Drosophila melanogaster: one gene and its partners. The protein of the gene in region 1 interacts with the protein of each later gene in a pairwise test. Each region holds a gene or a part of one and is shown in the gene's direction. Other genes may lie near its edges.

Region 1 (4,117 bases):
AAGCGACGGTATCCTATTCAGAAGACCCAGCACCTGCTGTATGTCTATGGCCTGACCGATGAGAAGCTACTGCGCCAAGTTGAGAACCCCACCGAGCTTATTCAGGCGCTCTACCACCATGAGCTGATCCTCAAGTCCAGCAAAGTGGATATTAACGCTCTGGTCGCAGAGATAGCCAAGCTGCACGACCTCTGCTTAGCCACCATCCAGTACCGCCTGCTACAGAAGTGGCTCGCTCTGACTATGGAGTCTGCGGGTGATGGTACCATTTTGGAGGAGACCTTCATGGAGGAGCAGAACTGGCCGGAGCAGGCCAACGGCGCAGAGTCCTCCAACAGCCAGGACGCCAGCGAGAACGTAAATAGAGCGTTTTACATACTTTCCAGTTGGCCAAAGGCGGAGGCAGTCAAGTTCCTTGTGGGTCTGATCTTCAAGGGCGGGTAAGGATTGGTACTTAAAAGTTAGCGAAAATAATTCATTGAATAAACCCTTCCACCAGTTCGGTAAACACCTCCACACAGCTGCAAATGTACGAGTGCTATTCCAAGCTAAACGATGGCAGCAACTCCTTTACCAACACGATTAGCCAACGCCAGTTCATCAGCATCAAGTGTGTGCACGAGCTCAAGGCTCTGGGCTACAAGTCGAACCTGGAGAAGTTCTCCGACGACCATTGCAACAAGATTGACATTCTGAAGATGATCTGGCAGCGTAATGCGCAGAATCCCCTTTCGCTGGAAGTCATGGCCAACATTTGCCTGGGCTTTGATATACACTTGCCGCAGATCTGGAACGGCATTCTGAAGCGCATGGTCATGTTCCATATGGTGCGCGAGCTGAACGCCTTGTTGGATGTACTCAGCTGCCGGCCGCATCTACTTCACCTGGATGGACTGGCCCAGGCCTGGGACTATGTGCTCTGCCATCCTCTGCAGAACGCAGTCGAGCTACGATCCTTTAAGCAGGAAGAGGTGCTCCACAAGACGCTGCTGCGCCTGCAGGGCTGTCCGGTGGTGCACGCCCTCAACCTGCTACAGTTCGCCCAGCTCTGCATCGTCGTCCATCGACCGCACATGGCCGCCTCTCTACTCAGCTTCTGCCAGAGCAGCGAGCAACGCCAAAAGATCAAAAAGGTATGCTCGAACCGCGCACTTTAACGAAATGCTCTATTGTCACTCTAACTCTTCTTGCAGATGATACATTCCCATCCGGTGGAGAACCTTCGGCAACAGATCTTGGATCTGGAAGATGCTGGTATTTTGCCGGTGGTGCTGAACTTTGCGCTCAAGGAACTAAATCTGTAAGCGTAGAGATTTGGATTTTACTATTCCCATAATTTTTTGTTTTATTGGTCGAATATCTGCGTTAAGTGCGTTCGGGTCAAGATACTTTTGTAAATATCAAGGTTTTATACCTGCAAATATAGTTTATACAAACGATGACTATTTTCTATTTTAATTTTAATATGTTATTTTATATACAGTAGCAATTAGTCAATATTCAAACAGTACAATCTCTTAATTTCATAATTTATGCATCACAAAACAATGTGTTAATTTGAGAAATTGTCTAGGGAACTTCGCTTCCCAGTTTAAAATTAACAACAATCGGGATGACGTCATACGTATGTATCACTTCTGTAAACAGTGGGCTCAAGTTGATGGAATACTGAAAATAATGAGATATATTAGGATTTTTTTTAAATGAAGACTTTGTTGTGTAAAGAACAGTCAGTCTCAAATCAATTTAATTAAAGTAAATGGGAAAAAATTAATATACTAAAGAATCGAACTTTTCGAAATTAGTTGGAGACGAATTTTCTCGAGCCCACTGTACCAGTCAGCTGTGGCCGCCAGCTGTTTTCTATTTGGGGTTAGATCAAAGACAGGTTACACTTTGTATGTAACTTGAAAAGCAAGGAGAAAGCTGCGAAACTAAGTTAAACCGAGATGATGCGTTCTTTGATAGGAGCACAAAAGTGCTGGGGCCTGATCCGCACCAGGAACTTTATGGAATTACCCACCAAACAGGTGCCAGCATCCTTCGCATTGTTCAAGTAAGAGCAAAAAATAAATGATGAGCTTACATGGTAAATGAGTACTTTCATCTCTAACAGGCGTCACTACTCACCGCCCACGCATATCAAGCAATCAGCGGTCGCCAATGAATCCGGAACCATGGCGGAGGGTAAGTGTTGTCTTGCCAGAGTCAAACCCATCGTAATCCCCGAACGTCTGCAGTCAAGCAGGGGATGATGAAGCGATTGGGGCTGGAGCCCGGTTACAACCCGCTGCCCAAATCCAGGGAGCAGCTGCTCAAGTACCAGCCGAAGCTGGAGGATCTGCCTCCAAGAGCTATGCAGGATTCCTTCACCTCGGCCATCATTCCTCTGAGCACGGACCGCAGTTTGCAGGACAAATATGTGACCTATCTGGGCAATGTGCGATTCGGGCGACTTCTGGAGGACATGGACTTGTTTGCTGGTATGAGGAACACATTTGCTGGAATCTTGGCGCACTTTCTCACTATCCGCTATTTCCAGCTTGGTGCTGTCATAAACACCTGGTTCTGCCCAATCTGCCGGAGGGAGTTCATCTGCCGTACACCTTTGTGACCATTCTGGTGGACCGCATCGATTTCACCAATGTCTTGGCTTCAGGCACCCAAGATATCCGTTTGTCTGGGCACGTTTCCTGGGTGGGAACCAGTTCAATTGAGGTGGTAGTGTGGCTGGAACAGATGGTTGGCGGGAGGTACCAAAAGTTAACCCGTGCCTTGTTCCTGATGGCAGCAAGAAACGCTAACAATACCGGAGCGGCTCCTGTGAACCCCTTACAGCCGGCCAACGAGGAAGAGAAAGTGATTCTGGCTGGCGGCGCAGATAGAAAGAAGAAACGTCAGATTCTCTGTGCTCAGTCCATCTTTAAGGTGGAACCCAATGACCCGGAGCAGACAATTATGTACGAGCTGTACAAAAGGACAACTCCCACCAACACTTTGGAACTCAACAAGCGCATCCTGCCACCAAACTGTCGCTGGATGGAGGACTCTTTCCAGATGAGCACTATTCCCTCATTTCCGGAGCACAGGAACCACCACAACCGGGTCTTCGGAGGCTTCCTCATGCGAAGTGCCCTGGAGATAAGCTGGGCAGCAGCCTACCTCTACTGCAAAACGCGACCCAAGCTGGAGCACATATCCGACATCAGCTTCGAGAAGCCCGTCAGCGTGAACAGCTTCATCAAGATGACCGCCTATGTGGTGTACACCAAGGAGAACTACGTGCAGATCATGACCGTTGCAGATGTGATGGACCCACAAACGGGCAGCCAGGTGACCACCAACACGTTCTACTACACCTTCTCGTCTCCGGACACGGTTACCGAGGTGCTGCCCCGCTCCTACCACGAAACCATGTGGTACATCCAAGGTCGTCGAAAGTTCGAGGCCAGCATGGGCCCAGTGTAGACATGGTTCAGCCTGTGATTGTTACTCAAGATATTATGCAAGGCTATCCTACCAGATAAATGCAATTACCAGTTCAGTGTTTACAAAAAGCAATAAATGTCTGTTGTTTAATGATGTGCTTAACCAACCAGCTTAAAACTTTTAAAATCTTCTATTAAACCCTATCGAAGAGTACTAGATTAAATGTTTATTAATATAATAACTGTCAAAATAATCCCTAATTTTTGCCGACTTTACATTTTTTGGATACCCATTACCTGTAATCAAAAAAGCAGAGCTGAAGCAAAATTTATAGTTTTAATTTCGTGTCGGATCTGAGTTCAGATCTCGATCCCGATCCGTTTCCATGGGGCCTGGTCTTAGAAATGTTAAATTATGTGTTGTACCTTTTTTGCTCGGAGCCCGCAGCTGCCGGAGCTTGTTAAAGGCCAGGACCCTCAGGAAGATGACACATAAAAATTCCAGGTGAAGCACCAACACAACTAGCAGAAATCAGATTTTATAGGCCACATTTCTTCTAGCTCTAATGGGCGTAACTCCTCTGCGGACGGTCAATACGCCACTATGACGGAGAGTAAGTACTTCCATTCCAGAAATAGGTGCTACTTGTCCAGATATCCCTTTTAGTCAAGAAGAAGATGCTGAAAAG
Region 2 (3,678 bases), on another chromosome or scaffold:
ATACTTGATTAGGATCTGCGTGATCCTGTCGGAGAAGTCCTCCGAGCAGTAGAGGTCCAGCAAAGCCACTCAAGTCGGCGATCAATCGAAGGATACCAATAAGGTAAAACTCCACACCAAAGCATCTATGCAGGGCTCTCCATAAACTTTGCGATTGCGATAGAGCCAAGTGCAACTTCTCGCTCAGTCGTGTGATGTTCAGGGCATCGGGGAGATCGAACAGATCCTCAATCTTTCTCAGCTTTCCAGCCACTCCTTTCAAGATTAGGGGCTGAACCCAGTGGAAGAGGAAACGCGATCCCAAATTGGCTTCGTCCTGGGCATGACCCAAATGGCTCTCATTCAGATCGAATTGAAAATATGTATATCGCTGGGATAGCAGGCCCTCATCCTCTCTGGCAGAAACTCCTGATCTGGGCAAACTGGAGTAAACAGCACTTCCTTTTGGTATTAAGGTGACTCCAAACAGAAGATCGCAGACCAACGTGGCCAAGCTCCAGGGCCACCAGCTAAAGTGTCGACTTGTCCGCAGCCAGACTGCATCCAAAACGACTACTGTGAGCCAAACGACATTGATTAGCAGCGATCCCCGATGACTAAGCTCTCCATATTGACGGGCTGTCAGTAGGAAACCTGTGAGTGGGGGAGGAATAGGAAAACTGATTAGCAAAGGGGTCATAAATTATTGTTTGTAGACTTATCATTTTATTGCAGAATACTACTTCTCTGCTTTTCTCAGAAATTTATGTATGCTTCTATTTAACAGACAACATAAAACGCCATATATTTGTAAAGTTAGGAAGTGAAACAAAGGAAGTTGTAATTGCCTGAATAAATCTAGATATATGAAAAGAAAGAACTACGTTTGTTTTGCGGATAAAATGGCAATTCATTTCAAAAAGCAAATAAATGTGCCAAGTTAAAATGTGTTAAGCATTAAACTGATAAGGACTAATTACATATTTGTATTTGATAAAAAGAAAGTCGGATATACAATCGCAGCCCCTAAAAGGGAAACCCGCATATGCACCTAAGATATTGAATCGAGATGTAAACCCCCGGAGAAAGGAAAACCGCACACTCACCGCTGTGAACCACCCACATAATGCATTCGGCACTGACAACCAGCAGATCCGCCGCAAACAGTTCAACGCCCTGCTGATGGAAGGCGAACACCTTGGCCACCGGTAGCAGGGCCAGTACCATGGCCAGGAAGGTACGAATCGAAAGCATACGCAATTGCAATCCATTACGTACGACATGTCGTGACTGATTGCCGAAATTGTAGGCGGATATGGCGGCGAAGAGCGTGTATACGGGCAGCTGGAGCAGGATCTCCTGAAAGCAAGGCAGCAGATCGTTGGTCTCGTTGGCGAACGGTTTCAATCCCGTCGGACAGAACTGCGTCCAGTTCCAGGCAAAGTCGCCCCAGTCCACCACAGATGACATCTCGATCGAAATCTTTGATGGATTCTTTGGTCTTCCGCTAAACTTGCTCAGTTAGTCATCGCTGCCTGCATATTTGCACCACTGAACCACCGAGTGGCGTTAAACAAAGCGATAAACACAACAATTGGACCTCAGATAAAGTTCGTAATGAAAATACAGCCGCTATGTGGAGCCGCAGGGTTGCCAACTATCAAAATCGTTGAACGGTTTCCTTTTCGTCTTTTTTTTTGAATGGAAATATTTTCATTGTATTATGCATAATACATATTTTCAAAGATCGTAATTTTTTTTTCAGACAGAGAACTTGGTTTATTTTCACAATCGCTAATTTTTTATCGAAAAATTTAATTACTCTGGCAACTCTATGTAAATGACATTGGCTAAGAAAGAAGAAGCATTTGTTTACGTTTCTATTTCACACTTTGTGCAATTTGTGTAAACAATTATGACAACTGGAAGCGATGCTGACGGGGATGGTGACCACCAGGGCAACAATGACATCGTCCCAAATCCAGAACATCCTCCGGAGATAATAGACATCTTCAAATCCTTGGCCGAAAACAATCAAATCGTCTTTAAGTCGCAGCAAATTGATGATCCGGAAATTCCGGTCGAAGAGAAGCAACAAATAGCACGAGATGCCTTCGATAAGAACCGTGAGAACTTTCTCATCCGATTTGGAGGCTTCCTGAATGTAAGACAACTGGGTTCCTTCCAGGAACTGGCTGTCAAGGAACCCATTAAAGCAGATGAAAATCTGGAGGAGATGTGCCTGCTGCTAGAGGATTTTAGGAGGAAACTCAACACTCGTGCGGTATCCATTAAAAACCGAAGATACCATGCCATGCAGCAGCTCCTTGACAAGGGAGAATACTTTAGCGAACACGAGATGATGCAAAGGGCGCCGGATCTCTACCAGGAGCTAGTGGGTCAGTACCTAACGGAGGCGGAAAAGAAGGCTCGGGATAGTTACGATGTTCGGAATACTAGCTTCTCAGGAATACTAATGCATACGTTGGAGAAAAAGCAAAGAGATGAATTACTAGAGGAAACGCAGCAGGAAGGAAAGCAGAGCGTGCAGGTCACAAGTGAATCCAATCCTCAGGCAGACTGTGACGTTCCTGTCGCTTGCCGAAAGCAGTGGGGTGGATTTGAAGATGATGAACCAGTGGCCTGTTCAACGAGTCGAAATGCGGAAGTCCGAGCTCCAATGAATACAACTATGATCTCCACACCGGAGTTCTATAATCCTGGAGAGCGAGAACTACTACGCAATGAGTTCTTGAGTATGATGAAGGAACGCTTTCTTAGTGGCGAAGACAAGGATTTTGATTATAAGGCCGTAGATGATAACACTTTGCTGGATGATCTGAAGCAAATTGAGCAGGATGAAGAAGATGCCTACTTTGAGGATAGCGAGGACGAGGAGGAATTGGAGGAGCATGCTGCGGATGAGAATGCTATATCTAGCGAAGATGACTTGGATATCTACATGAGGCATCTAAGCAATCATCACAGTCTCCAGAATAGTCACGGATAATAAATGAAAGCTGCTGGTCGCTCGGCATCCAAAGAAAACCCTGGAAATCGATAGGATACTCAGCATTCTGCAGCAATAGACTTTAATGTTAATCTTATTCTTAGCCTTAAAAACTTTTGATCTTAGACACTAGAATACACGCAGTTGTTGAGTAAAAATGCTGTTATCTGGGCCTTCCACGACCACGTGGAAAGCCGCGTCCTCTTCCTCTTAAAACTTTGCTATTCGGCGGCGGACTCTTGGGCCTCAGTAGTTCAATCCTACTAGTGCAACCGGTGGCTGGAGCCTCAGCAAAGTAGGTCTGGTATAGCTCGGAGTTGAAGTTCGAGTTCGTCAGTTCCGGACCAACAGTTAGCCAACCTGGTCGAATACTCGAATCTCTGCCGAACAGATGCAAACGCCGTCGACCCAAGCAGAAATGTTCGATGATGTGAAAGATCTCGATGGGCTTCTCGAAGCTGCCAAACTCCTCTTCCTCTGAGATGATTAAATCAATGTCCACGTTGGCATGGATAAAATCGCCATCAGTGGAGCGGCGAACAGTTCCTTTGATTCCCATCAGGCAGTGTTCCTTGGTGCGTTGAAAGACCGCTTTCGGTTCAAGTTGCTTGGAGTGCCCGGGCTTGTTAATGTTGGTCCGTATCCAACATATGTCTTCGCACCTCCGGAATCCCCACTTCTTCAGGCAG
Region 3 (5,327 bases), on another chromosome or scaffold:
GCCACTTTTTTACGTGCCGTATACGTGATTTATTCGCGAATAGAACGCGGCGAGACACAGGCATTTGCATAATGGAGATGATTTGGTGAAGAAGAGGGTTTGGGGAGCCGCCAGAAACCACAATTATGCAATTTCCTGGCCGTCTCTAAGCACTTAATTATGGTTATTAAAAATTTGGCAAATAGTTTCTTCGCCTTTGTGCGCCCGATCATTTGCACATAGTTAGCTTGAAGCCAGACGCATGTGAAACATCGGAATTGGCCATATCATTATGGTTAAAATAAATTGTATATTTACATACATACATACATATATGCATGTTCGGATGTGGCGTGCCAGCTCTTAGCCAGATTTGCAAATCGGCAACGAGTTGAACGAACGATGGTAGCAATATTTTGACCATCATCATCATTCAAGAGATGACAAACTGCTAAATATTGAAGCAAAAACGTGGAAAAAATAAAAGAAGTGAAGAGAAAGGCAGCCATATGAACCACATTGAATGATTAACACTCTTTAATAGCATTAATGTCTTCATTTGTTTAATTTACTAATTGATTTCGCCAAACAAAACGCTGTATTTTAATGCTTATTGGCTAGTAACCAGAATAACTTGGCTTTGGCTTGGCCAGTAAGTAATAAAAGCCAACAAATGGTAAATAATAGATGGTGGTATCATATCGGACAGTGAATAAGGTCAGTTATAGTTTATTCAGTAGGGGTTTTAGTAAGCGATCAAACTAGTACCCAAAATGAATTAATAAAGGCAAGATAGCAAAGGAAAGAGGTTAGTATTTGCTGGTCAAACCGCCCGTTTTGAGGTCAAACCAAACCCCCTTGAGGGAGTTGGGGTAAATAGTTTTGCTTGCACTTAAACGAAATCAATGCGATTAAAATCGACTTGGCCCAGTCTTGCGGACGGCCAACTGAACTAGCCTTATCAACCATCGAGAATCGGTGTCAGCTAATCGAGCACCCACAACTACAACAACAAACCGCTGTCCCCAATAGTGGAGCACCACTTGGTCATTCCGACCACGTCGCATGGAAATGGAAAACGAGACGAAAACAGAAATGGAAACGGAAAACAAACCTAGAAGCCGAAACCAAAACAGAATAAGAAGCAGCGCCACTCCAAACATGGTCAACGAAATTTGTTTTGTGTTTTGTCACTTTCTCAGCCCAGAACCAAAGAAACACAAACGCGTCATATGGGTGCGCCCTTCAGAAAAATGTGCACAATAATGGGCAAAAGTGTACATGGCTTATAAAGTATTATTCTTACAAATACTGTGACTATAAATCGGATTTAATAACAACTAATCAATTCAATGGACAACTCAGCATTTGCATTATATTAAACCTCTAATGTGAACGCGCTTATGATATTCAAAGTTCAAAGTGTTATTTAGTCAAATAAGGTAATATGTCTGCTAGTAATTTGCCCCCTGCTGTAGTAACTATGTACGTCATTTGCAGGGGTTCTGAACCCAACCCATAGCAGTGGTTCACGTTACACTCGAGCACGTTCTTATCGCAATTAATTGCAGCGCATTGCATAAGCATCGCAAACTTATAGGGTGATACCAAAACGTAAACATAATCTCTGACTCAGCCCAGTGGGTAGCAATTATTAATTATAATTAATAAGCCAAAAGCCAAGGCAAGTCTTGCTTTGATTGGCCAAAAACGCAGCCAGAAGCGGAAAACAAAAACTGAGTCGAATTACACCACAGTTCAAGGGATACAAAAGGGAGTGGGCTGGGGGTCGATATCTGGCTAAGATCGGTGAGCTTACCCAGCCGGATCGGCACTGGAGCGCATCTGAGTGTGTCCACGTCAGCGGGCATCCAAAACAGAGCAGAAATCTTGAGATCCGAGTAATCTAGATATTGTCCTTCAAGTCAGTATTGTGCCACTCAACTGATCAACTTAAGTAGCTTGGAAATTTACATCAAATTATGACAAGTTGTTAGAAAAGTAGTATATACATATTCCTTGGCACGGGCCTTAAAGTAATATACATTTCTTTCTTATAAAATGTTTAATTTTATTACTTGATTTACTTGCAGTTGCATCTGAAGTGCAAGAAGGAAACAAATTAAATATTCACTAGGGCGGAATACTAAGGAAAACTCAAGCCACACACTGAGGAAATCAAAGTAGGAACAACTAAAACTGTAAGTAGTAACGCAAGGAAAATAAGGGAAATTGGGAAAAGGGAAAACAAGCAACATCAACATCTGCAAATCATATGCAGAGCGTCACTCGCATATGGATATGAGATTTCAGATTTTCGTGACCATATCCGGTTGCCAGTCAGCAGTTGCAACTGCAATTGCAGCTTCCATCAAAACAATAGCAAAAACCAAAAGACGAAATGCGGAGCGAACTGAAAACGCAACTTGGGTCTTTTGGGGCCCAGGGAAATCGCATCTTGGCATTCGCCATTGTTGCTATGGGGATTTTTTTCTTTTTTGGCGGGGGGTGTACAATAAATATAGGGTGGAAGTTGCGTAAAACGATGATATGATATTCACACATAGATCGGGCGATAACATCAATAACTAAAGATGATGTGGAAATCAGAAGGTTCAAATGATGTGCCTATAAGGTTACATACATAAATAAATAGATAAATACATACTCTTACATACATACAAAGGTTGTTTTCTAGTCTAGCAAATGATGTTTTAAATAAGAGAAATGTATTTGTAAGAGTACATAACTTGTATCATAAATTAATAATATTATTAAGACTCAACAATGGTTTGGTCTAAAATAATCCACCATTTGATTCAGTGTTTTGAATCCAAATTAAGTTAAGTTTGTTTTTGTTTTGATTTATATCCAGTGTTGAATAAGCTTTTCATGTACTGTGTGTGTGTGTGTGTGTGTGCATATGTTTATGTTCATCTTATCTTGTTTATCTAGCATTGTATAATTAGGTTTAGATTTTGTTAGAATAAGTTTAGATACATCCAGTGCTGTATAATGTTCCAATAACTACATATTTATCTAGTATTGCATAATTCATTTTAGTGTTTAAATAAGTTTAGATAAATCCAGTATTGTTTAATTTGCTGATGAACTTAGCAGTGATTGGCCGAAAGTGGGAAACCTAACCTCATGTTCTAGAAAAAGAATCGCCAACAAATTTCAAGTAAGCAGTGCCTTCTGTCAACTCGAATGTCATTTGGAATTGCCTGAGCTCTATTCAGTTTCGTATACCTCCGGATTACACGTACTAACGTTTGAAAAAAAAAAAACTAAAATTCCAATCAAAATGCCACACAAAAAATTTCCCAGAATGTCACAGGCGCAACTCAAACGTTTGATCAAATCACAAAATCAGAACATAGCAAAGGCCGCGTGTATTTTGGAACCCCCAAAAATTATACAGCAGCCGTCGATGAGGCAGTCCATCATTCCACCGAATCCTGCTTATAGCAAGAAACAGGGCAAAAATGCGGCTCGCCCAAATTCCGAGCGAGCTGGAAAGGTGCCAATGCAGGGGCTGAACCACGTGGTGCCGGAGGACACTGTGAAACAGGTGAAGCAATAAGTATAGTGCAAAAAGCGGGCTTATCGCATAAAATAGTACTTTCAGCATAATCAATCTAAGCAGATGCAACGCAATCGAAGGAATCCATCGTCGAAGATGCAACAAAATGGCAATGAAGCATCCAAGCAGGAGAAGCCCAATCAGCACGAGGACAAGAGCCGTCCCAAGCAGTTGTATTCAAGCGTTGTGGCCAATAAGCAAGACGGGCCCACCGCAGTGAATGCTCCTCCACCCAAGGAGGGCTCATCTGTCAATCAAATTGGATCGTGTTGTCATCATGGCAATGTTTCGGGCGAAAAGCAGAAATGTCCGGATACCAGCTCATCATCCGCCACGTTCACTTGGCCCAGTCAATCGGTTAAAAGCCAGGGGTTTTTCGGAACTAGCGATTCTTCAGCTGACCCATTCAGCATGCAGAATCTGAAGAAGATTGCCCGGGATTTCTTCTCATATCCGGAGTTTCATCCACCGGAGGCCAGCGAAAACATTGCCGCTGCCAATGGCTCCAAGAAAGCTGAGCCCTCGAGGACGAAATCCCAGCCGGGTCTCAACTCTTCGCCGAGAGGCTCTGCCTTGGGTGCCGATAGGTCGGGCCATCCTCAATCGATTGCGGGTGGAACGAATTCTCGCCGGAAGGATTATCCATTGGAGGAGGCCTTCATGACCGTAATCCGCAATCTGCGCGAAAATTATCCGGGCAATGATTCGATTTCATCTTCAAATCGCCCGAATATCCAATTTGATAACTACCAATCGGCGCAAGGTTTCGGCTATGGTTCCAATTCCTATTACAACGCTCAATCGACATCCGCTTACGGCTATCCTCCGACTGGTTTTCCGATGTCCCAGCAGTCAGGCTTCATGCCAAAGTATAACCAAATGCCGACGGCTAATGGTTCAAATTTAAATCAACCGCCATTGATTAGCGAAACTTATCAGGCCGAAGCGCAGCAGCATCCTTGCTGGCCGGTATATATTCCGGAATATGTTTCGCATTTTATGTTCGGTGAGCCACAGGACGCCAATGCCAGCTGCTCTCGTAATTCAAACCACGGCAACAAGATGTAAAATAGAATCCGGAGGGAAATCGGAATAGTGTAGCATTTAAAAATCTATTCATCATTCAACACCATTCGAAAAAAATTGCTAATGTAATACACAGACCAATTCCGTAATCCTAATCATTTATTTTGCATCTATGTATTAATAAACATTTGTAATGTTACAAATATTTTCCATATATTTGTAAGCCAATTACACTTAACCATCTTTTGTAATGATGCAATCCGAAGATAAACAAAAAATGTATGCATCTCAACTACCTCAATTAGAATTTAAGTAAAATGTGTAATGATGATGATGTATAAAGAAATGCCATCAAATTTCACTTTCAACTCGGCGGAAGAAAGTGAAAAACATGCGAAAAAAGAAATTAATGAAAAAATCGAGCAGCTTACCAACAATTGAAATAAAGGAAAAAATCAACTAGTCAGCGTCGATTGTTTGGTGGTCAGTTGTTTGGTTTTCTACTATTACCAAACCAATGCCAACAAAAGAAATTTTTTTCTTTTTTCTTTTTTGGCCAAGTAAAATAAGAAATCAAATAAGATGAATCTTGCCTTATAAAATGTGAAATTTTCCTGCCATTATGATTAGAATTTGGGCTTAAGCTCATTATCTAATCAAAGATATTGATAACACCTGCGAAAAAGCAATTGAAGAAACTTACGATTGATTGATATACTTAATGTGATCGAATTTA
Region 4 (5,449 bases), 2.5 Mb from region 1:
CTACCCAGTCGCGTCCTTCCTTGAATTCTGTGTAGATGTTATTGAGAAAAATAAGGAAAGTATTTCCATAAACTAATGATTTTGTGCACATTAGGATATAGGCAACTTACCATCATCCAGTCCCATTATGTACATGGTATCCAATGAGTCAACAATGGTTAGTCCCAGACCGAACCACTCGTGGGAGTACTGGGAGATGGGCTTCAGGTTGTCGTGGCCCCAGGCATACTTCTTGTAGCCAGCCCAGGAGTGCTTGAAGGCGGCTACAACAGCCGACTGTCTTTCGTTGGTGGCGCCATGGAAGTGCTGGCCCTTGGCCAGAATGGGCTTGATCTTTTTGAGATGCTCTTTGAAGCTAACGCCGCCCAGAGTGAGTGGGTTCTTGATGGCTTGCTCAAGCTGCTCGCCCTCGCTAAGCGGCTCTGCTGGATCCTGGGCGACGGGCTCCTCTACATTGTTTAGGATGTCGATTCCACCGATGTCCTGCTCCTTGTTACTATCGGGGGGAGGCAAGGCCACGGCCATGGCCGAGGCCTGGGGAAGTCCTTCAGCAGCCACCGTCTCCGGCAGACGGGCCACGTTCTCCGCTGAGTTCGCTTCTCCATAGGCAACTAGCTCATTAAACTGAAATTGATTGATATTGAGATATCATTAATAGATTTTACTGGAAGTGTGCTGCGTGGGCAATAAATCAAACACCAATAGTCAATCGTATTGATACGCATGCTATCTTAATAGGCAAACAACTCCAGCCACTTAGGCACTTATCAATTAAGTGGGGGGCCTACTTACCTTATCACTAACCGCCTCCACCCGGGGTGCTCTCTTATCGGCCGGAACAGGTACCGCAGCAGTGTCTTTGGGCACATCCTTATCCACCCCCGGATGATGGTGCGGATTGGGCAGGGGCATTTGATATGCTGCCACCTCGGCCTTGGTGTCCACATCCTTTAAGCTGGCAGCCAGCAGCTGATCGCCACTTAGGCAGAGCAACACTGTCACGCAGAATCCGGTGATGCCCAGAATAATGAGATTGCGCTGACAACGCGGTAGCTGATTCCAAGCCTGAACCGTGAGACAAAAGATCGTACTTATAAGTTCTGGGTTTCTTGAGGATGTCCCAGGACCCCAGCAACTGGACTTCTGCCAGGTTGCTACCTACCCGACGCAGGCTCTTCCTGCCCCGCTCGTCCGTCGTCGCCGCTGATCCCGGCGGGAGTGTGAGCGTTATGTGACCGCCGTCCTTCATAGTGTTTCACTAAATGCCGCCGCCGGAATTCAGAGTGTGGGAAAGTTGGATGGGAAATTCCACAGCATTCGCCTCGAATAAAAATCGATTGCTGTGCGCCGCTGGCCGCGGAGGAATCGGAGCTAACTAACCAAGGTTGGTCCAACTACTACCTCTTTTATGCCTTAATCATCTCTATACGTGCCAGTGCATTAATTTATATATGCTAGTTCTGGCCCACACTATGCAAAATTACAAATAAGAAATTCTAAAATTATTTCACGAGAGCTGCATTTTTGAGCTGCAATGCTGCCAACTTGTTCTTCAACAGTCCGGCCAAAACTAAAGATGGGGCTAGCAATCATTTACTTTTGAAATACCTCTTAAATAAAAAAAAAGCAAATTAAATTATATTTTAGATATTATCACTACTTTATAAAAGAATTTTTCTAAAGAATATATATTAATACGAAGTGGCTAATTTTTTCGAAAATCCAGCTAACACAGTATGAATTTAGCCAAATCTAGAGTGGCCAACACTAGTCCCACTTAACAGTGATTTATTTGGCAGCCCTGGTAAGCTCCAAGTGTGCCCACAATACGGCATTAAAGTGGTCACATCTGGTCACATCCCATTTTCACATCAAAATTTCGACGGAAGTCGGTGCGTAAACCCATAGCCCATTTTTAGTTAGATAATAGCACTTAAAACCCAAAAAATAACACCTACAGCCGGCAACGATAGCGATAGACCCATAGGAAAGCGAACCGCAAACCGACGATGCTCCGAACCCGACTCATCCAGGCGGCCAGCTCCGCCCAGCGAGCGTTCTCCACCAGCCAGAAGGCCCTGGCGGCCAAGCAGATGACCGTGCGAGATGCCCTCAACAGCGCATTGGACGATGAGCTGGCCCGCGACGACCGCGTCTTCATCCTGGGCGAGGAGGTGGCCCAGTACGACGGTGCTTACAAGGTGAGATCTGCGACTTTTCCTGCCCCTGCGCGATTACGTAAACAGCAAGCAGGCGGTTGCGACGACGACAGCTGATGCAGGTGGCCGGGATGGGGGAAGTTGGTGGTCAGCGGGGTGATATATGCGTGCTATATGTAACTACTGATAGTGATTCCGAACAGGTCGACGCGAATCCGAATGCGTGATCGGAGTGGGCAAGGTCACGCAGAATATGTGTGACCGACTGTCTGCTGATTATATAGATTGGCCCATAAAACAACGATTTGTTTACCCATTTGAGGTGGATTGATAACCGGCGTTAGCAATTCTATCCTATTAGATTCATTTAAACTATGATTGTGGCTACTGGTGTAACAACTAGATAGGACACGCAAAGTACAATACAATTACCTGTTAGAATAATGGTATTTCCTGAAGAAATCTTAGTTAATGAGTTATCAGCTTGGAAAGTTTTACAAACAGATAAAAGGTTCCCATCCTGAATAAGCCCTACATATTTTTCTGGTATCCTAACATTCTATTAATCATTTAATGCCCTTTTTAGGTTTCCCGTGGACTGTGGAAGAAGTACGGCGACAAGCGCGTCATCGACACGCCAATCACAGAGATGGGCTTTGCCGGCATCGCTGTTGGCGCTGCCATGGCCGGTCTGCGTCCCGTGTGCGAGTTCATGACCTGGAACTTCTCCATGCAGGCCATCGATCACGTGAGTTGCCTCATCCTTGTCCTAAGAACCACTCCCCGCACTCCAGCAGTAGGCTAACTACTCATATTATCTCATTGCCAACAAAACGTAAACCAAAAGAAAGAACACGACAATCCAATACAAATGCCTCACAACTCCAACAGCTAGCAAATAGACCAATTCAAGTGCAATATGCAGCGGCGCTTAATGGGATAATATGGGTGGATTAGCTCCTGCCCCAAGTCATAGATCGGACCTCACTAATCCCCACCCATATTATCCGATTATGTGCAGGCAAAGATACTCGATTGCGCCAAGCCGCCAGTCGGTGATCGCCCTCTGCCAATAAGCCTCATAATTGAAAGTCCACGCTCAACTTGGCTGAATGAGATCAACGACATCCTGCACAGAGATCGAGTCGGCGAGGTGATTGCGCCGCCGCTGGACAAGAGCAAGTCGGACAAGATGGAGGCGGCCCGCCTCATCGTCATTCGGCGGCGCAAGATGAAGAAGCACAAGCTAAAGAAGCTGCGTCGCAAGATGAAGTTCGAGTGGGCCAAGGTGCGCCAGCGCCGCGAGATGCGCAAAGAGAAGGCCTTCCAAGCAAAGCTGATATCCCAGATCAAGCAGGCGGAGGCATTCAGTGCGGAGCAGCACGTGGCGGAGATCCTGCGGCAGGCCAACGAGACGCCGCTGCCGCGTTTCTGGAAGGGACGCCGCCTGCCGGCATTTATCATTAAGCAGAAACTAGGCATTAAGTAAAGATCAAGACGGAACAGAAAGGAGTGCATCAAATAAAGCGTATTAACTTGAATTGGCGAATTTGCAGTTTGATGGAACAGGCATCCACACTGAGCATTATTTTCATTCATTTTTCACTTTATTATTTCTAAGTCATATTACACATTCATAATAATATGGATTGCTAAAATATATCCCTTTAAAATTTCAAATCTTAGATCATCAACTCGGCGGCCAAGACCTTCTACATGTCTGCCGGTGCCGTCAATGTGCCCATTGTGTTCCGTGGTCCCAATGGAGCCGCTTCCGGTGTTGCCGCCCAGCACTCTCAGTGCTTCGCCGCCTGGTACGCCCACTGCCCCGGCCTGAAGGTCCTTTCGCCATACGATGCCGAGGATGCCCGCGGACTGTTGAAGTCCGCAATCCGTGATCCCGATCCAGTGGTCTTCCTGGAGAATGAGCTGGTCTATGGCACGGCATTCCCTGTGGCCGATAACGTGGCCGACAAGGACTTCTTGGTGCCCATCGGCAAGGCCAAGGTAATGCGGCCGGGCAAGGACATTACCCTGGTGGCGCATTCCAAGGCGGTGGAGACATCGCTTCTGGCAGCTGCCGAGCTGGCCAAGAAGGGTACGGCACTGTTTTACTTTGAATGACGCGAAAAGTAGCTAACCTTCTCTTATATGTTTAGGTATTGAGGCTGAGGTCATTAACCTGCGCTCCATTCGTCCTCTGGACACGGCGACCATCTTCGCCTCTGTACGAAAGACCCACCATCTGGTGACCGTGGAGAACGGCTGGCCCCAACACGGTGAGTGGGAAATTCAGCTAATTGAAAGCCTAGCGATATTTATAAATTTTTACCCTCTTAGGCGTTGGAGCTGAGATCTGCGCCCGCATAATGGAGGACCAGACCTTCTTCGAGCTGGACGCCCCCGTATGGCGCTGCGCCGGCGTGGATGTGCCCATGCCCTATGCCAAGACGCTGGAGGCCCACGCCCTGCCCCGCGTTCAGGATCTCGTGGAGGCGACTCTTAAGGTCTTGGGTGGCAAAGTGGGCAAGGCCGCTGCGGCCAACAAGTAGGAACTCAGGACTAGCCAGCCTCCCGATCGGAACCCCCAGCTAACTAAATTTATAGTCCAAGTCGAAACGCTGCCTCTGGTCTAACCGAGCTGCCCCCATAATAGTGCACCGAACTGGAAATTGAATGTTCTGAAAATAAAGCACTACCGCTTTCGGGTTTTGATTAGTTTTCGGACGTTCTAGTTTAATTATTTGGTTATAGAAATCTCTTGTGAAAAATAAACGAAAACATAAATACATTTTGAGTGCTTATATTTTGGTATAGTTAATGATATAATATCAGAAGATAAAAAATATATAATTCTTATCGTTAATGATTGAAGTTTAAAAAGTGCGCGCACCGATGAAAACGTTTTCCTATTGAACGCTGTCCAACACTGACGACATCTATTTTTTCGATATCAGCCTATCGTTTAGCAATAGGTGTCCTCATATCGATAGCGATAATAGCAAAGTTAACAATAACAAAAGATATAACATAACAAATAATTGCAATGCTTTGGCTGTAATGGCAAACAGCTCCAGCTCCGACGAAAGCTGCAAGGCCCCCGACAACTTTCGCATCTCGAGCGCCTCCACAAACGGCGAGGACGAGGAATCAGATGTCGCAGGATACACAACAAAGCGCAGGCCAACGGCAGCGACGAAGGAACTGTTGAAGGATGCGAACGCCAAGGATAGGAACGCCACCACGGGAATGGGTGCCCACATGCGGTGCCCACTGTGCCACAGCTGCAG

Evidence for each region.
Region 2: the proteins of CG1635 (region 1) and CG7810 interact in a two-hybrid assay, tested with the Drosophila melanogaster proteins (one large-scale study listed by BioGRID).
Region 3: the proteins of CG1635 (region 1) and CG12992 interact in a two-hybrid assay, tested with the Drosophila melanogaster proteins (one large-scale study listed by BioGRID).
Region 4: the proteins of CG1635 (region 1) and Pdhb interact in a two-hybrid assay, tested with the Drosophila melanogaster proteins (one large-scale study listed by BioGRID).

Annotation. Positions count from the first base shown.
Region 1 is NT_033777.3:31,586,804-31,590,920, forward strand, and holds CG1635 (uncharacterized protein), read left to right. Parts: upstream 1-1,869; 5' UTR 1,870-1,949; coding exon 1,950-2,056; intron 2,057-2,116; coding exon 2,117-2,187; exon of another isoform or gene 2,188-2,240; coding exon 2,241-2,483; exon of another isoform or gene 2,484-2,542; coding exon 2,543-3,468; 3' UTR 3,469-3,589; downstream 3,590-4,117. Other genes in the region: rod (rough deal), read left to right, coding at 1-440, 500-1,133, 1,194-1,304; CG1638 (uncharacterized protein), read left to right, coding at 3,815-3,933, 3,990-4,042, 4,096-4,117.
Region 2 is NT_033779.5:8,309,340-8,313,017, reverse strand, and holds CG7810 (uncharacterized protein), read left to right. Parts: upstream 1-1,822; 5' UTR 1,823-1,894; coding exon 1,895-2,989; 3' UTR 2,990-3,142; downstream 3,143-3,678. Other genes in the region: CG7806 (uncharacterized protein), read right to left, coding at 1-633, 1,086-1,449; Mettl14 (methyltransferase like 14), read right to left, coding at 3,153-3,678.
Region 3 is NC_004354.4:17,586,916-17,592,242, forward strand, and holds CG12992 (uncharacterized protein), read left to right. Parts: upstream 1-1,949; 5' UTR 1,950-2,015; intron 2,016-2,072; 5' UTR 2,073-2,180; intron 2,181-3,042; exon of another isoform or gene 3,043-3,099; 5' UTR 3,100-3,286; coding exon 3,287-3,553; intron 3,554-3,601; coding exon 3,602-4,633; 3' UTR 4,634-4,791; downstream 4,792-5,327.
Region 4 is NT_033777.3:29,111,249-29,116,697, forward strand, and holds Pdhb (pyruvate dehydrogenase E1 beta subunit), read left to right. Parts: upstream 1-1,822; 5' UTR 1,823-1,892; exon of another isoform or gene 1,893-1,960; 5' UTR 1,961-2,009; coding exon 2,010-2,201; intron 2,202-2,745; coding exon 2,746-2,907; intron 2,908-3,180; coding exon of another isoform or gene 3,181-3,648; exon of another isoform or gene 3,649-3,698; intron 3,699-3,845; coding exon 3,846-4,257; intron 4,258-4,318; coding exon 4,319-4,438; intron 4,439-4,499; coding exon 4,500-4,711; 3' UTR 4,712-4,949; downstream 4,950-5,449. Other genes in the region: alpha-Man-Ib (alpha-Mannosidase class I b), read right to left, coding at 1-27, 111-624, 793-1,065, 1,163-1,249; Atg14 (Autophagy-related 14), read left to right, coding at 5,220-5,449. UniProt on the Drosophila melanogaster protein: The pyruvate dehydrogenase complex catalyzes the overall conversion of pyruvate to acetyl-CoA and CO(2). Might play a role in regulating synapse structure formation at neuromuscular junctions. Might play a role in maintenance of mitochondrial morphology.